Arabidopsis thaliana: one gene and its partners. The protein of the gene in region 2 interacts with the protein of the main gene of each other region in a pairwise test. Each region holds a gene or a part of one and is shown on either strand. Other genes may lie near its edges.

Evidence for each region.
Region 1: the proteins of AT3G03330 (region 2) and PPT2 interact in a protein complementation assay, tested with the Arabidopsis thaliana proteins (one large-scale study listed by BioGRID).
Region 3: the proteins of AT3G03330 (region 2) and AT3G19100 interact in a protein complementation assay, tested with the Arabidopsis thaliana proteins (one large-scale study listed by BioGRID).

What each region holds. Positions count from the first base shown.
Region 1 is NC_003074.8:216,265-221,067, forward strand, and holds PPT2 (phosphoenolpyruvate (pep)/phosphate translocator 2), read right to left. Parts: upstream 2,873-4,803; 5' UTR 2,593-2,872; coding exon 2,296-2,592; intron 2,185-2,295; coding exon 2,062-2,184; intron 1,994-2,061; coding exon 1,841-1,993; intron 1,733-1,840; coding exon 1,647-1,732; intron 1,546-1,646; coding exon 1,464-1,545; intron 1,377-1,463; coding exon 1,257-1,376; intron 1,173-1,256; coding exon 1,095-1,172; intron 988-1,094; coding exon 858-987; intron 766-857; coding exon 683-765; 3' UTR 541-682; downstream 1-540. Other genes in the region: AT3G01560 (proline-rich receptor-like kinase, putative (DUF1421)), read left to right, coding at 3,620-3,928, 4,049-4,330, 4,499-4,803. UniProt on the Arabidopsis thaliana protein: Phosphoenolpyruvate/phosphate translocator that transports phosphoenolpyruvate (PEP), 2-phosphoglycerate and 3-phosphoglycerate.
Region 2 is NC_003074.8:782,803-788,156, forward strand, and holds AT3G03330 (NAD(P)-binding Rossmann-fold superfamily protein), read right to left. Parts: upstream 3,403-5,354; 5' UTR 3,347-3,402; coding exon 3,271-3,346; intron 3,195-3,270; coding exon 3,139-3,194; intron 3,036-3,138; coding exon 3,002-3,035; intron 2,914-3,001; coding exon 2,815-2,913; intron 2,717-2,814; coding exon 2,568-2,716; intron 2,463-2,567; coding exon 2,424-2,462; intron 2,258-2,423; coding exon 2,165-2,257; intron 1,849-2,164; coding exon 1,750-1,848; intron 1,535-1,749; coding exon 1,433-1,534; intron 1,245-1,432; coding exon 1,161-1,244; intron 1,082-1,160; coding exon 1,016-1,081; intron 860-1,015; coding exon 770-859; 3' UTR 530-769; downstream 1-529. Other genes in the region: AT3G03320 (RNA-binding ASCH domain protein), read left to right, coding at 32-119, 214-332, 425-487; UNE6 (LUC7 related protein), read left to right, coding at 3,403-3,783, 4,072-4,124, 4,444-4,612, 4,703-4,766, 4,884-4,963, 5,059-5,206.
Region 3 is NC_003074.8:6,603,718-6,609,835, forward strand, and holds AT3G19100 (Protein kinase superfamily protein), read left to right. Parts: upstream 1-1,578; 5' UTR 1,579-1,963; coding exon 1,964-2,509; intron 2,510-3,185; coding exon 3,186-3,316; intron 3,317-3,453; coding exon 3,454-3,495; intron 3,496-3,601; coding exon 3,602-3,710; intron 3,711-3,812; coding exon 3,813-4,188; intron 4,189-4,295; coding exon 4,296-4,408; intron 4,409-4,515; coding exon 4,516-4,623; intron 4,624-4,702; coding exon 4,703-4,765; intron 4,766-4,859; coding exon 4,860-5,027; intron 5,028-5,119; coding exon 5,120-5,263; 3' UTR 5,264-5,578; downstream 5,579-6,118. Other genes in the region: AT3G19120 (PIF / Ping-Pong family of plant transposase), read right to left, coding at 5,961-6,118.

The DNA.
Region 1 (4,803 bases), 570 kb from region 2:
TGCAATCGAGTCACAGATCTGGATTCAAATCGAACAATAAAAAAAAAAACTAACACGTAATAAAAGGATTCGATCAGAAATCAGAATTAAACACGACCAAACCGACGCAATCTTAGAGAGAAACTAGAAATTGAAACAGAGAGCTTAAATACCAAATTCTAGGAATCTAAGTCAGGATTGAGGAATTTTGTCAACAGATAAACGCGTACCTGATTTGATATTCAAGAGTCGAGTTTGAATGTGGAAAACGAACCAGCAGATTGGATTAAAGACTCGGGTCAAATCTGTGAACTCGAGCTTTTGAGATTCCCTTTTTTGGTTTCCCTCTCTATAACAATCTACGCCACAAGAAGAAGCGTAGAAGCAAGAGAGAGAAAGTTAGACCAAAAGCAAGGATGTCCAACTTTAGACCGTCTCTGTTAGTTAGGTTTATAAAACCATCCATCGTCGCAACAAAAATATCTGCACCTTAATGAGCCGCCTCCTTCTTTTGGGCCCTTTTGGGCCACTCCAATTTTATTCCTAGGCCCATTATATAATTTCCATGTAAAGAATAGAATTATTTAATGAGATTAGTTGAATTTAACAAAAGTTAATAGTGTCATGTAAAAACGACATGGATGAACAAAAATATCAACATTTTTCGCATAAATAATAAACTAAGAGCTTCTATATACAAAATTCAAGACATTTTTGGATTTGGTTTGACTTGGACTCGTTTGGCTCTGCTGTACAAATATACTCCAGCTAGTGCAGTCGCGGTACCTGTTTATTTAACAAGTGATTATATATTGCTTCAATAAAATGAACAAGTGTAACAAATCCTTTACTAATATATACTACTAGTAGTTGTTTACCTATAGAGTTAAGAGGTGAGACTGGAGTTTTGAAGAAAAGAATGGATGATGTAATAACCACCACACGCTTCACGCAGTTCCCTACAGAGTGTGTTACTGGAGACACCATCTCCAATATCATATACGATACCTACAACAACAACCCCAATTTTTATGTGTTGATTAGAAGCCTAACACTAACCGACTTTACAAAATTCAGTACAGTTTTTCTGAAACGGAGGAACTAGACGGACCAACCTGTTGGTAGCTATGCAAGCAAACACCAGCAAGTAGAGACATGATGCAAAACTCTTTTACCGACAAACCCTGGCTTGTCTGTCAAGCAACCACATACAAACACACATTAGTTCTTTCTCTTTTAGATCATCTAGCTATATCGGTTTATGCTTTTCCACTTACTGCTACTTGTAAATGCGAAGGAGTAACCTTGAACCCATCGATGAGGATTGCTAAAGGAACCAGTAAGATAAAGGAGATAATGGTTATTATAGAGAAAAGGTTGATGTTGTCCAAAGCGTCCTGTTTCAATATACAAACATTAATAGATTTCGATTACTAGTTTCTTTCTTGAGATCATAAGGATAACTTATATTCAAACTCTTTTACCTTTCCAACCATGAATTTTTTACTGAGGACATTGCGTGATTGATTCGTCACATTAGAAGCCATTGCACTGCAGAAACCAATCCTGGTTTATCCCAATACCATGAATTAATCAAATCAATTAAAACTTCATCAAAAGTTTATCAAGAATACTATTTTTTTTGTTCTTGTTCTTGTTGTTCATACCAATTGAAAGAAGCTTCTGTGAAAGATGCTAAAGAGACTCCAGCGACAATAGGTAACAACGAACAAACAATCCACAGACTCGGCCACTGGACATTAATCAAAATTTCAAAGATTATGTCTGAAAATATAACTCTCTTGTATAATCTAAGGTTATAGATTAAGTCTGAAACAGAGCGTATCTTTGTTTTGCTTACCTCACCGAGCAAGAGAACAGAAAGCAAGACGGTGAAGAAAGGCTCCATTGCTTTGATAGTGTGGGTGAAAGAGACATTTACTCTTCCTAAGCTCACATTTGTTAACAAGTTCCCTAACGTGTGAGCTACTGCTAGTTGTACGATCACCGTAAACTGGAGAGGATTACAATTGAATGAATCTCTCTGTTTTTAGGGTTTGACGGAATCAATATTTGATTTACCTGAGAAGGAGAAAATTTGGGGCGTGGATGGAGTTTAAGGAGCCACATTATAGCAATCATCAACGTTCCACACCCTAATTGAAATGCTGTTACAGTCGCTGGATATGGATAAACCCTAAGTACCTGGATCGATGAATGAACAAGTTTCATACTTGTATGAAGACTGATAATAGGTTCGAGTACTGCTTCTTGCATTGAAATGGACTGTTTAATTAAATGAAGCAAAGAAGGAACCTGTTTGTTGAAAATGTTGTAGTAGATATTGAGAAGGTACCAAACTCCAAACATGCCTCCTAGCTTCAACCCTTTAACCAAACTTCCAGATTCCAAATCTCCTCCTTCCACATTCTCCGGAACTGTAGCTGACTTGAGCTTGAAGCCATTAAATCTAAGGTTCGGTCTCCAAGGATAAGAGTTAGAAGATGAAAAAGCTCTGCTTCTTCTGCTCAACGCTGATTCAGGAGTAGACTTGGCAAGGAACAATGGAGATGGAAGTCTTGGATTTGGATTTAGAAATGTGAGAGCGAACATAATTTTTTCCTCTTATCAGATGCTCCAAGATGTGCATAAATCCTCCGGCATTTGTTGGAATTTCTCACAAGTAACCGACTCTTGCTAACTTTTTCTTCTTCCTCTATTGGTAAGAGTTATGTTACATGAGTCTACCTCCTCATTTTCATGTAAGAAGAAAAAAGTTTGTTTTGTTTTTGGATATACTGCAAACTTGATATTAGTATTATTTAGAAGAGTTGTCTTTATTATGTGACTTTTCTCTCGTTCTACTATCTGAATGTTTTTGAGTATGATAAAAATAACTCACATGCCGATGCCGACATTTTTTTCAATATAACATTGGCTCGATTTTATTTATCTTTCCTCATAAGAGCCAGTGGTATTTGCCGGTATTGTTTCTTCTCATGTTCTCCATTCCATGTGTGTTCTGTAAATAATGTTATGGAAATGATTTGACATACTTGGTCACTCATTTCTTTACAAAGGGGCCGTGGTTTTCTTCGTTTATAATAATATCAAAAAGTTGGTAACGCTATAAATAATTATTTAAAATAAAGTTTACGTACGAACATGACAAATTACTGACCACAACACCAATTGATTTTTAGTGTGGAATTTGAAAATGTCAGGGGAGAATTGTATGGATGATATGAAAGGGGCCGCGTTGAAACATGTGGATGTTGTATTGTATGCTCCTGAGTCCACCCTTTTCTTTCCGTGTTATTTCATACTATTACAAATAAGGTTGGTCCCATTGCTTTGATCACATTATTGATTATACCATTTACTTATTATGTCAGTGTTGGTACAGGTCATTGATCACAATTTGGGCTTTAAACGGAGAGGATGGAAACTGAATTCTAAATACATTTCGGCCCATTTAGGGTCCATAACCTTCTACGCCAATCAGAAGGTACGTCGACATGAGCAACTTGGTCAATTTTATGACATAAATAAAATAAAAATAAAAAAATAAAAATCGATCTGAGGGGTTTTAGAAAGAAAAGAAGAAATTCGGGAGTCGGAGAAATTGTCGGGTGGATCGATGAATACTTGTCAGTTTATGGATAAGCAGATAATGGATCTATCTTCTTCTTCATCTCTACCTTCCACTGATTTCATCGATCTGATGAACAATCATGACGGCGATGATCACCAGAAGAAGCAGGTGATCGGCGATAATGGATTGGACTCTAAGAAAGAAGTGATCGTTCCTAGCTATGATTTCCATCCCATACGTCCCACCACCGCCGCACGATTGTCTCACTCGGCTTTAGATCTCGCCGGATCCACGACTAGGGTTAATTGGTCCGCCTCTGATTATAAACCCGTTTCCACTACTTCGCCTAACACTGTACTTACTACTACTTCTCGAATCTTCCTCTCTTTTTTTTTTTTGTACATGATTCTACATCATAAGCCTATAAGAGGACTTGTCTATTTCTGATTGATTTGTTTTTTTTTATTCGGCCAGAATTTTGGATCTCTCGATTCTATTGAACCTTCCAAGTTGGTTCCTGACAAGGGTCAAAATGTGTTTAACACGACTATTATGTCCGAGATTATAGATAGGACAATGAAGAAACATACCGATACCTTGCTTCATGTAATGGAAGGTGTTAGTGCACGTCTTTCACAGCTGGAGACCAGAACCCACAACCTCGAGAACCTGGTGGATGATCTCAAAGTTTCTGTTGACAATAGTCACGGCAGCACTGATGGGAAAATGAGACAGCTTAAAAATATCCTTGTAGAGGTAACTTTGCTGATTGCTTTTCGAAACTAGAATTTATAGCTTTTCCTGGCAACTATTGATCTTTTTTATACAGAAATTTTCTCATTTATGAACATGTCTTTTCTTGAACCAGGCTTATAGTACTTTCTGTTGATACTTCAGTTCCTTCTTTATGCGAATGGTGTGCAGGTGCAGAGTGGTGTGCAACTATTGAAGGACAAACAAGAGATTCTCGAAGCTCAGCTTTCAAAGCATCAGGTATCCAACCAGCATGCCAAAACACACTCTTTACACGTTGATCCCACTGCTCAATCGCCCGCTCCAGTCCCTATGCAGCAGTTTCCTCTTACTTCTTTCCCACAGCCACCATCTTCCACTGCTGCTCCTTCCCAGCCACCTTCCTCGCAACTACCACCTCAGCTACCTACGCAGTTTTCTTCTCAACAAGAGCCGTATTGTCCTCCGCCTAGTCATCCTCAACCACCTCCATCAAA
Region 2 (5,354 bases):
CTCTTGTTACTAACCATTTTGATGAGGGCAGGACGTTCACCGTTATACTTCATTCTCAGAAATGCTGAAAGTGGAGGGTCTTGCCAAAGTTCTTCCTGGAGTTGAAAGTATAGAAGAAGGTTTGAAGATCTTTACCATAACATAGAACGTTTGGAAAGCGTCTCTTTTGCTATGTGGACTTTGTTCTAACCTGAAATGATGTTCTATCTGCAGGTGTTCAAGTTTACCGAAACTTTTATTCTGAAGAGAAGGAAAGAATGAACGGTGTTGTAGCTATTCGTGTTGCAAAACCAGCTAATCAGCCTTCTGCAGCTTTGGCAGGAGTATTGTCTGTGAGTTTCTGGCAGCAAGTCAAACTCCAGAAGCTTTCGTTAGTCTTCAATGTATGCATCATATAGCTTTCTTTTCGGTTCTTCTTTTGTAGGAACTGAAGTCCAGTGGGATCAAAAGCCTGTTGGATGAATACACAGCTGGGGTTACCTCGTAGCTGCATCTGAAAACCTTTGTGCGCAGAGAAACTACTCAATTTGAAGGGTTTTGATTTCTCTACACTCGGATGATGTTAAATTTGTGTTTGTTTGTGTGTACGAGTAGCTAAATCACAGAAGATCACATCTTTTCTTACTTATTGAGCACCTCACAAGGCAACAAAACATTTTTCGACGCTTTGGTAGTTATTTAACAATCAAACTAGCAAACAAACACCAACCACATTTACGGACTAAGGCTCAACCAACCACATCTATGTGTATCTTCTAGAGAATCAGCTTCAGTTTGTTTTAGTCTTCTTCCCGAACAGTAAATCCCACGAGTATGTGTTGCCTTTCTTTTCCGCGACCTCCACACGCTTTCCTCCAACCTGCAAGCCGTTCATTTTAATCAAAAGACTGCTTTCAACAGAGTAATAACTGCCCCTGTTTTCTCTTTGTCAGATGTGTTTGTCACATTATAATGGAAACAAAACGACATCTCATACCGGTAACTTTTGAAGAAAATTAATGGATGAGCAAAGTACCTTGTCCATGAGCCAGAAGCCAAGGGAAGGCATGTACTGCACTAGATACATCACGAGTAGTACTGGCTGAAAAACAGTGAAAAAGAAACTTATATATCAGACATCTAAACCGAGTATCACATATGCAATATTTATAAAGATGTACCTGATATGAAATCCAAGCTTCCTTCAAGTTATGAGATGCAGCGATTATAGTCAGCTCTGCACATCGTTCAGATGACACACGTTTCTGCGTAGCAAAGAGAATAGATGCTTGAGAGAAATCAAGTTGAGCAAGGAGCTGAAGTTAGAATCTCCAAATGTTGACAAAGAATATGATTCTACGTGTATCTACAAGGAAATAATGAATCAAGCAATGGGAGAAGTACTTGCTGCTCACAACTTAATCAAATAATCACAATCATAATAAGTACCAACCTCAGGAGACTTGCTGTCTTCCGAAGTTGATGTTCCTGTACCATTCCAGGTTTCTATTGGACCAGGACAAACGACGGTAACCTTGATTCCCTTCTGACAGAACTGAAACCATGCACAGATGATTGTAAACTAACTGTTAGTTTTTGTAATTGATTGTGCTATTTTCAACAATAAAATGTAAATGAAAAAACATAGCGAATCAACATATGAAGCTTATTAAAACTCAGGAGTAGCTGTAAATTTTCACTTGTGATTTCAATAAGTCAATTTCTGCCAACTAATTAGCAAGCACAACAGTTTCTTTACTTCTAACATACCTCAGAACGCAAGCTGTGGAAGTAGCCATGAAGAGCATGTTTTGAAGCAGAATATATAGCCTGTCCAGGTGATGGTACCTTTCCTGCAGCACTGCTTATCTGAGCATAATTGACGTGAATTATTACTCATGACATTTAACCCAATAAAATGGACAATTAGTGCATGATCATAGCCTGAGTTCCATAACATTCAAGCTATGGTAAATACTAACCTGAACGAAACCTTAAATTGTCTATATACCCTAGTATCCTCAGATTTAACATATATAGTCAAGATTCAATACTGTGATTACAACAATTAACTAACATATAAAACGCAATGTTATCCACATATATAAACTATGATATGAAGCTCAATCCTTAAATATAATTCCACAAAATTAACAAAAACTATCCCCCAGTAGTCTCCACGTACCACAACAAAATGACCCCCTCCTTGTTTTAGCATATGAGGAGCTACCAACTTTGTCAGAGATATCGTCCCAAAGACATTAACATCGAATGTAGTCTGCACACAAAATCATAGATTAACCATATGTCAGAAAGAAATATCAAAATCACCCATGTCCTAATTGTTACAGGCTAACTATGGCAATAGAAACAAAAAATACCTTGAGAGTTTCCTCAAGAATTAATAATCTTGCCTACGAATTTTACGCAATTAATTTTAGTACCTTGAGAGTTTCCTCACTTGCATCCGATGCCTTGGATTTCTGCAAGGAAAAGAGTATGATGATGACACCCGCTTGAGTAAACATATCTAAAGCCTAAGACTCTCTATTGAGTAGATACAAAACTTTAGCAAGGAAATTACTTACCGGACGCTCAAAGGCAGCATTGTGAACCAAATAATCAACACCAGCTCCAGGGAAAAGCGACACTGCTTGCTCTACAACATGTTTGAGTGACTCTTCGCCGCTAGCTAAATCTAAAGGCAAAACCTTGACATCTTCTGGTGCAAATTTACCTAGAAGAAGAATACAGAGTCAGTTACATCACGTGTCAACAAAAAGCTCACAATTGTAAACTGGAGAGCTTTCTTTGATTCATTGTGTAAGAAAGTACCTTTAAGCTCACTCTTAACCCGATCCAGTTCAGCTTTATTCCTAGCAGAGAGAATAAGCTTGGCATCTAAACTTGCAAACTGTTTAGCAAGAATTTCACCTGAATCCAATCATAAACATGAAGAGTAAGCAGCCACAATAAAAGTTATCTCTTCACAGATATATAATCCTAAGAAAACATTCGTTACCAATTCCACGGCTAGCCCCTGTGATCCAGACGACCTGAGCAAAACCAAGAAATCTGAATTAATGCTCAGAGATTGAAATAATCGAAAACTCAAATCAATCCCACTAAATTCCATTTTTTCCTCTATCAATCCAGTACCTTGCCTTGTATGGCCTCACGCTTCACATGCTTCTTCGAAATCAAGGTAAAATCTCCTACACAAAGCAAAGATCAATCCTTTTATACATAAAAGAAGTTAAACATTGCATTAGAAATCGTCAGAGTTATTACCATCGGCGAATGCAAATTTGAAGAGCAGAACGATAAGAAGAAGCGCTCCGAGAGAGAAGAAGAGTAGAGTCAGCATTTTCTCGGATTGAAGCAACCAGCGAGAGACCAAGTCTTCTTACCCGTGGGCAAAATATGTTGACAGAAATAAATGTAGGAGTAGAACATAAATTATTAATATATAGGGACCTGTATGCAATTAATCTTATATACCAAAATCTTATTACATCCGAATGCCATTGTTCCTATCATTGTGTTGTCTTTCGATCAAAAAACCCCAAATCTCTGTTTGCAGAGAGGACGAGGAAAGAGAGAGAGAGAGAGAGAGAGAGAGAGAGAGAGAGAGAGAGAGAGAGAGAGAGAACGACTATGGACGCTATAAGGAAGCAGCTTGATGTGCTCATGGGAGCTAACCGAAACGGCGACGTTCAGGAGGTGAATCGCAAATACTACGACCGTGATGTGTGTCGTCTTTACTTGTCTGGTCTCTGCCCTCACGATCTCTTCCAATTGACGGTGCTTACCTTTATATTTTTTCAGTTTATTACTTAGTTGTCTCTTTGAATAAAAAAACCCTAATTTCACTTTTGAGCTAATCTTTTGTGTTTCTGCTTTAGCTCGAATTGATAACTGGTATTTGGTTACTTGATACAGTGTGCAGTTTTGTATCTTATAGAGTATATCTGAATTCTGAAACTTGTATCGCTTCACTGTTTTCTATGAGTATCTGTCTAGTAATTTAGTGCATGGCTACTTTGGTTTGCCTAATAACTGATGCTCCTTTTACATTTCTGTTGTTATCAGAAAATGGATATGGGACCATGCCCAAAGGTGCACTCTTTGCAGCTTCGGAAAGAGTATCCTTTGTTTACAGTAAGTTTAGTATTTACCTTATACGGTTACCATGAAGGCCGCCTACTTCCATGGCCTCTTTCAATTGAATTTGACATTTGAACATACTTACTAATTGGGTTGATATCTGTTTTTTGCTCATGTTTTTGCTCTTCTTCCTGGTTTTTGCTTGAGATAATACGTTAAATGAATGGATAGTGCATATAAGACTAGCCTATGCAGATTAGTTACAAAAAAAAGTTGGTGTCATTGTTATGTTTAGTTTGATTCTACAGTGGCATGTTGTTCTCTTTCCACTCCTGTGTTGCTTTAACTCGCCCTTAGATACCGAGAAGCAAGGGCAAAAGGTGTTGATAACTACGACAGGGAATTGGAAGATGCCATAGACAGGCTTATCGTTGAGTGTGATAGGAAGATTGGTAGGGCCCTTAAGCGTCTTCAAGAAGAGGACGCCAAAGCTGCCATTGCCATTTCTGTCTCTGAAGTCACTCAGGTGATTATTTGATTTTGAAATTTGGTTTATGTGTCTTCTAAGTTTGCAACACTCAGGTTTGTTTATCATCATTACATTGTTTAACTGCAGTCGCCTGAAATTCTCGAGTTATCGGAGAAAATCAAAGAGAAGATGAAGGAAGCAGATATCCACGGTAAAAATTAAAAGAATATTGCCCAGCAAATATTACTTTGCTGTTTCGGCTTTGTTTTTGCAAATAATTCTTGACTGGTTATTGGTAGTCTTTCAAAGTTCTGATGTCACTTTGCAGATCTTGAAGGCAAAATGGATCTTAAGATTAGAGCTCTTGAGTTAGTCGAAGAGATGAGGACCAAGAGAGCTGACCAACAGGTGAATTTGCTTTCGCTATTGGCTTAATGAGCATTTTTGCTTTTTTACTTTACCTATGTCAACTAGAAAGTCCTTTGTCTTGTTTTTTCATGTAGGCGGTGTTGCTGTTGGAAGCCTTCAACAAAGATAGAGCATCCTTGCCACAGCCCGTTCCAGCTCAACCACCATCTTCCGAATTACCTCCACCGGATCCTCGCACTCAAGAAATGATAAATGAGAAACTGAAGAAGGCAGAAGATCTTGGTAAGGGAAATAACCCTAATTTGTGTTTGGTTATTTGTCTATGGTCATCTTAATTTAGAGCTCATTGTAGTGGAAAGTTGAAACTGCTTAAATATCCACGGTCTAGTATTCCCTGCCGGCTGGGAATTTCTACTGGCTAATCTAAGAT
Region 3 (6,118 bases), 5.8 Mb from region 2:
CCACCACAAGGACTGCTATTTATAATTGATTTATTATAATAGAGGTAAAAGATTTTAGAGTTAATTAACCAAATAATACATATGGATTGGTTTTCCTAAGATGCATTCAAAAGAAGCAAGGCACATGACTTGGGAGAAGATAGTGAAGGCACGGTGACGTTTTTTGAGGGTTCGTTTTATATAACTTTTTTCATTTTTTGAGGCAATTTCTTTTCTGTATGTTTAATATGTTTTATTTTTGTGAGATTATTATTTGAATAATAAAGGGGTAATTTATATAGCACAAGAATTGCAACCCTCTCAACTCTTTGTTTTGATTTAGATGAGTAATGGATTTGAATAAGTGACTGAAAGATTGGGTGAAACTTGAAAACTAATCAATTTTCTTTCTAAAGAAAAACTAAAAAAACATGATGAATAGTTTATAAAAAGCACAAGCACAAGAAAGGAAATAATCAGGTAAAATGTTACTATCTTCTTGCATCCTAACTAATTCCAGTAACTTGTATCTATTGACATTCCCAAATGGTTTTTTAACCGGTTTGATATATATTAATTTTTAAGACATATTCGACAATTCTTTAACAACCTTGAAGAAGGCGGAGTCACTTATTGAATCCATTATTCATCTCAATCAATATAAGGAAGTGGGTTTTGTTTACAATAATTGCCATTTTTCGATTGGATTTTGTTTACAAAACCCAATACTTGAAAAGACATTTTTCAATGACCTTAGATTGGATTCAATGTTGTGAAAAAAAAAAAAAAATGGATTCAATGTACAATTTTTTTCTAAAAATAAGTGAAAAGACAAATGAGTATTGAGATAACAAAAGTTCTTGCCAAGGTTGTCTAGTAATTTCATAACCTATGGTAGTTGTCAAACAAACTAATTTATAGTATCATATTAATTATAATAAATGTATAATCTTTAATTGAAACAAAACCTAATTTTACTCCCAAATTAATAGAAAACCTTCAAAGGATGGAAATTGTTGGACATGTATTTACATGAAACCAAACATGCAATATCAGTAAACCAACTTCATAGTCTATACTAAATTACGTACCGATTGGTAGATAGAAATAATGATAACTAAACTGATCTTAACGATTGGTATTGGAGAGAGATTTTCAAATCAAGAGTTAGTAAGAAAAAGAAAAAAAGAACTTAGAGATGTGGATCAAATATTTTGAAAATGATGAAATCTTATTAAAAATTGAAATTGATATACGACCTGTCCAGATACAATGAAGTTGTTAGGTTACAACATCAGCATGTTTCAAAAAGGGTCAAGCAGGTACATCCAATCAATTTATATAACGTAAATCCTGATTTTCAGAGCAATATTATTTGTATCTTTTATAACCTCCCTAGTTAATTAGTAATAAAATATTTAATTTAGTAGTATCACAAGATGGAGCTTTAAAAGTTATCTTTAATTCCCACTTTTGAAAATGATAACGTCCATAAATACATTTCAAAACGTTTTTATTCTCCCAATAAGATATCAAAAAGACAATATCAACAACAAAAAAGACAAGAAAAAAAGACAAAAAATAATGATAGATAAAATACAAAAGCAAAAGAAAACGTATAGTATTGCTTAGAGAAAGAACAAACATATTGTGAATTAAAAAGAAAAAAAAAGAGGGACAAAAGTAGAAAGACGTGGCAAAAAGCAAACTAAATTTCGACCAATCCACATCTAAAATCTAACCTTCTTCATCAGATGGAAGGAAGCTACTTCACCACCCGCAGATTCTGCCATGTGGCTTCTCTCTCTTCTACAGCTCACTTCTTCTCTCTCTGTCTCTCTCTAACTACATTGAAACCAAACCAGAGTGCTTCAATGTCATTGCTGTGATTCTCTTTAAGTCCAGACATAACTCCCATATCTTCTTCTTCTGTCTTTTTTTATTTCTTTGAACCGGAGAAGAAGAAGAAGAAGGAGAAGGATATATGGGAGGCTGTACTTCCAAACCTTCCTCCTCCGTCAAACCTAATCCTTACGCACCCAAAGACGCGGTTCTCCAAAATGACGATTCTACCCCTGCTCATCCCGGGAAATCACCGGTTCGTTCATCTCCCGCCGTAAAGGCCTCTCCTTTTTTCCCTTTTTACACGCCTAGTCCCGCCCGGCACCGCCGTAACAAGAGCCGCGACGGCGGAGGAGGAGAGAGTAAGAGCGTTACCAGCACTCCTCTCCGTCAGCTCGCGCGTGCTTTCCACCCTCCGTCACCGGCGAGACATATACGGGATGTTCTGCGGCGGAGGAAGGAGAAGAAGGAGGCTGCTCTGCCGGCGGCGAGGCAGCAGAAGGAGGAGGAGGAGAGGGAAGAGGTAGGGCTGGATAAAAGATTTGGGTTTTCCAAGGAGTTACAGAGTAGGATTGAGCTAGGGGAAGAGATTGGGAGAGGGCATTTTGGGTATACTTGCTCTGCTAAGTTCAAGAAAGGAGAGCTCAAAGATCAGGAGGTTGCTGTTAAAGTCATCCCAAAATCTAAGGTCATTTTTACAGCTTTACTTTTTCCAAATTCTCAAGTTTCCATCTTAAGTTTTCTGCTTCAATTGGCTCAAGTGCTTCATCATTGTAGTGATAGCTATATCTGACAAATTGAAGATTCTTTGTGTGTCTTGTCTGATTTGTTTAGTAGATGTTAAACTGTTTCAAGGTAGAAGAACAAACCATCATAGTCTCCTTTTGCTTCATGATGAACCTGTAATTTGATCATTACGGTCTCTTGAGATGTTTCTGTTCTTCTCTACGAGCTTACTGTCCTCTTGTTTGAGCCATCTTTTTGAAAAAATTGATAGCGTATGTAGACTTTCACGCATAGAAATTAATACAAAAACAAGTAATAGCGAACACAGATGAGGTTGAAGTTTGTCAATGACACTTATGTTTCATCCATGTTTTTCAATAGCCAAGTTTTCAATGGTTGTAGATTAGCATTGCTGACTTTTCTGTGAACATTTCTAAACGTTTTAAATTGGTCAATAAATTGGAACATGGACATTTGTGCTTTTGTCAATTGTCATTAAGCAATTGAAATTTTGATGGTCCTTATTTGATGACTAAGAAAGTTAATCATGTAATCGAGTTAGTTGGTGTAATATACAGATAGGTTTAGTGTTAGCTTAATCCACAATAGACTGTTTCTCATCAGCTTTGGTTTGGCAGATGACATCTGCAATATCTATAGAGGATGTGAGAAGAGAAGTGAAAATACTGCGGGCGTTATCTGGACATCAAAATTTGGTACAATTCTATGATGCGTTCGAGGACAATGCCAACGTTTACATCGTTATGGAGTAAGACAATCATGTGCTTATATATTCCTGTGTCATGTTGAATCTACTAGGAGAGCTATCAGATTCTTATTTTCCCGACTTGGCTTACTTCAAAATGTTTAGCTGTGAATAAACATTTACTTTCTTTCAACTTTCAGGTTATGTGGAGGTGGTGAACTTCTTGACAGGATACTAGCAAGGTCTGCTTTTAAAGATTGTTATGACATTTGTTAACTTATGGTCAGAGATCCTTCTTAGAGATGTTCTATTGGCTGTCTAACTATTTCAAATTTACTTCTCTTACAGGGGAGGAAAATACTCTGAAGATGATGCAAAAGCAGTGCTTATACAGATCCTTAACGTCGTAGCTTTCTGTCATCTCCAAGGAGTTGTTCATCGAGATCTAAAACCAGAGGTGAACCGCACTTTTTGTCTTTGCTTTTTCCTTTCAAAACCCAAAAGAAATATTGTCTTAGTTGAATACCAATCTCACATTTGAAACACTTTCATGTTTCAGAACTTCTTGTACACTTCCAAGGAGGAGAATTCTATGTTGAAAGTCATAGATTTTGGCTTATCGGACTTTGTCAGACCAGACGAAAGACTAAATGATATAGTGGGAAGTGCATATTACGTAGCCCCTGAAGTTCTACACAGATCTTATACCACAGAAGCGGATGTATGGAGCATAGGAGTCATAGCATACATTCTCCTATGTGGAAGCCGTCCTTTTTGGGCAAGAACTGAATCAGGAATTTTCAGAGCAGTTCTAAAAGCTGATCCCAGTTTTGATGAACCTCCTTGGCCTTCGTTATCCTTTGAGGCAAAAGATTTTGTTAAGAGATTATTGTACAAGGACCCTCGGAAAAGAATGACTGCATCTCAAGCTTTGAGTCAGTAATCTCTAAAATATCCACATCTTTCTATATTTATCTTCTGTTTCTAGCTTTTCATGAATCACCAGTTGAAGTTACTCCACGTTTTTTTCCGGTTTTTACAGTGCATCCTTGGATCGCGGGTTATAAGAAAATAGATATCCCATTTGATATTCTGATCTTCAAGCAGATCAAAGCATACTTGAGATCTTCGTCTTTGCGCAAAGCTGCTTTGATGGTACATTTTGCTTCTAACCTTTTTTACTGTTTCCAAACAACATTTAAGGATGTGTTTGATATTTATTACCTTTGTATCTAGTTTGCTAACTCTTTTATTCTCTCCAGGCTCTGTCCAAGACATTAACTACCGATGAACTTCTTTATCTGAAAGCGCAGTTTGCACACTTAGCACCCAACAAAAATGGCCTCATCACTTTAGATAGCATCAGACTGGTATGTGCCTTCTCTTCCTCTCTGTCTCTCTCTGGTAGAAAGCAAACAGCTCAAAGCTAGATTTATTTCTGTTGGACAGGCACTTGCGACAAATGCAACAGAAGCAATGAAGGAATCACGGATCCCGGACTTTCTTGCATTGGTATTGTCTCCTTTCTGTTCTTGTCCTTTTGCTTAATCTGTTTAAGATACAATCCAAGGTTGGTTAACGAAAGTTTGGTGTTGGGAAATGACAGTTAAATGGACTTCAATACAAAGGGATGGATTTTGAAGAGTTTTGTGCAGCTTCCATTAGCGTTCATCAGCATGAGTCTCTTGATTGTTGGGAGCAGAGCATTCGTCATGCTTATGAGCTATTTGAAATGAATGGAAACCGAGTTATCGTCATCGAAGAACTCGCTTCTGTAAGTTTATAAGAAATTCGACACTTGCTTCTGTCATGCTTAACAATTTATTCAGCTAATTCCTAAACGAAGGGAACATAAATGTTTTGTAGGAACTTGGTGTTGGATCATCCATCCCGGTTCATACCATTCTAAATGACTGGATAAGACATACTGACGGGAAGCTGAGTTTCTTGGGTTTTGTCAAACTGCTGCACGGTGTCTCGACTCGACAATCTTTAGCGAAAACGCGATGAGGAAAGTGACTCGGTGTTATAACGGATTCGAAAGAGGAAGAACATACAACTGCAAGAAGCAAATGGGTGGATTGGGGTTGGGAATTGGAATTTTTTTCAGGACCCATTCCTATGTTTATAGTGTTAGAAAAAGAATGCTAAGTTCCGACAAAGAAAGAGAGTATCCAGAAAAATCCGACAGGCCTGGAGAGTTGTATAATAAGATGATAATCCACAGTCGTGTTCTTCCAAATCATGGAAGACAGATATTAAGAACATCCCTTTCTCTTTTCATTTGGCTGTCTCCATTTTTTCCAGGAAAAAGATTCAGATTCCATTCACAATGTGCCACAAAGCAAATCATAAAAACCCATTCCTAAGTCACAAAACTTACAGTAACAGAGAGCTATTAATATTTCAAATTCGGAAAAACTTGCTTCTCAAGATTCCATAATCCATATCAATAGAAGTCATACATTTCATTCTCAAAAGGTGTTACAGAACAAACCATAAACCCATTCCTAAGTTACAAAACTGACAGTTGGGATGGCTAGGCAACAAAGTCAGCTTTTTAACATTTCTGAATCCTCAAACTTTCTTCTCAAGAGGATTGAATCTACAATGCTATCTAAAGTTCTAAACACTTGAAAGCATCTGCTTCTTACATGATAACAAAGATAGAAAGCTCCATTTTTTGACCAAGATCTGTTCATGTCTTTTACCTCGAGGAGAGTCTCTGGTGTAAATCTTCTGCCAATGCTTGCCTCAAACTCTCCCCGTAATAGTAAAACTGCCTCTCACTCTCCAAAACTCTTGCAGGCGTTCCAGCTTCATCTGGATCCTTCCAAATCTCCGGTTCAGGTTCTCTAGCAATCT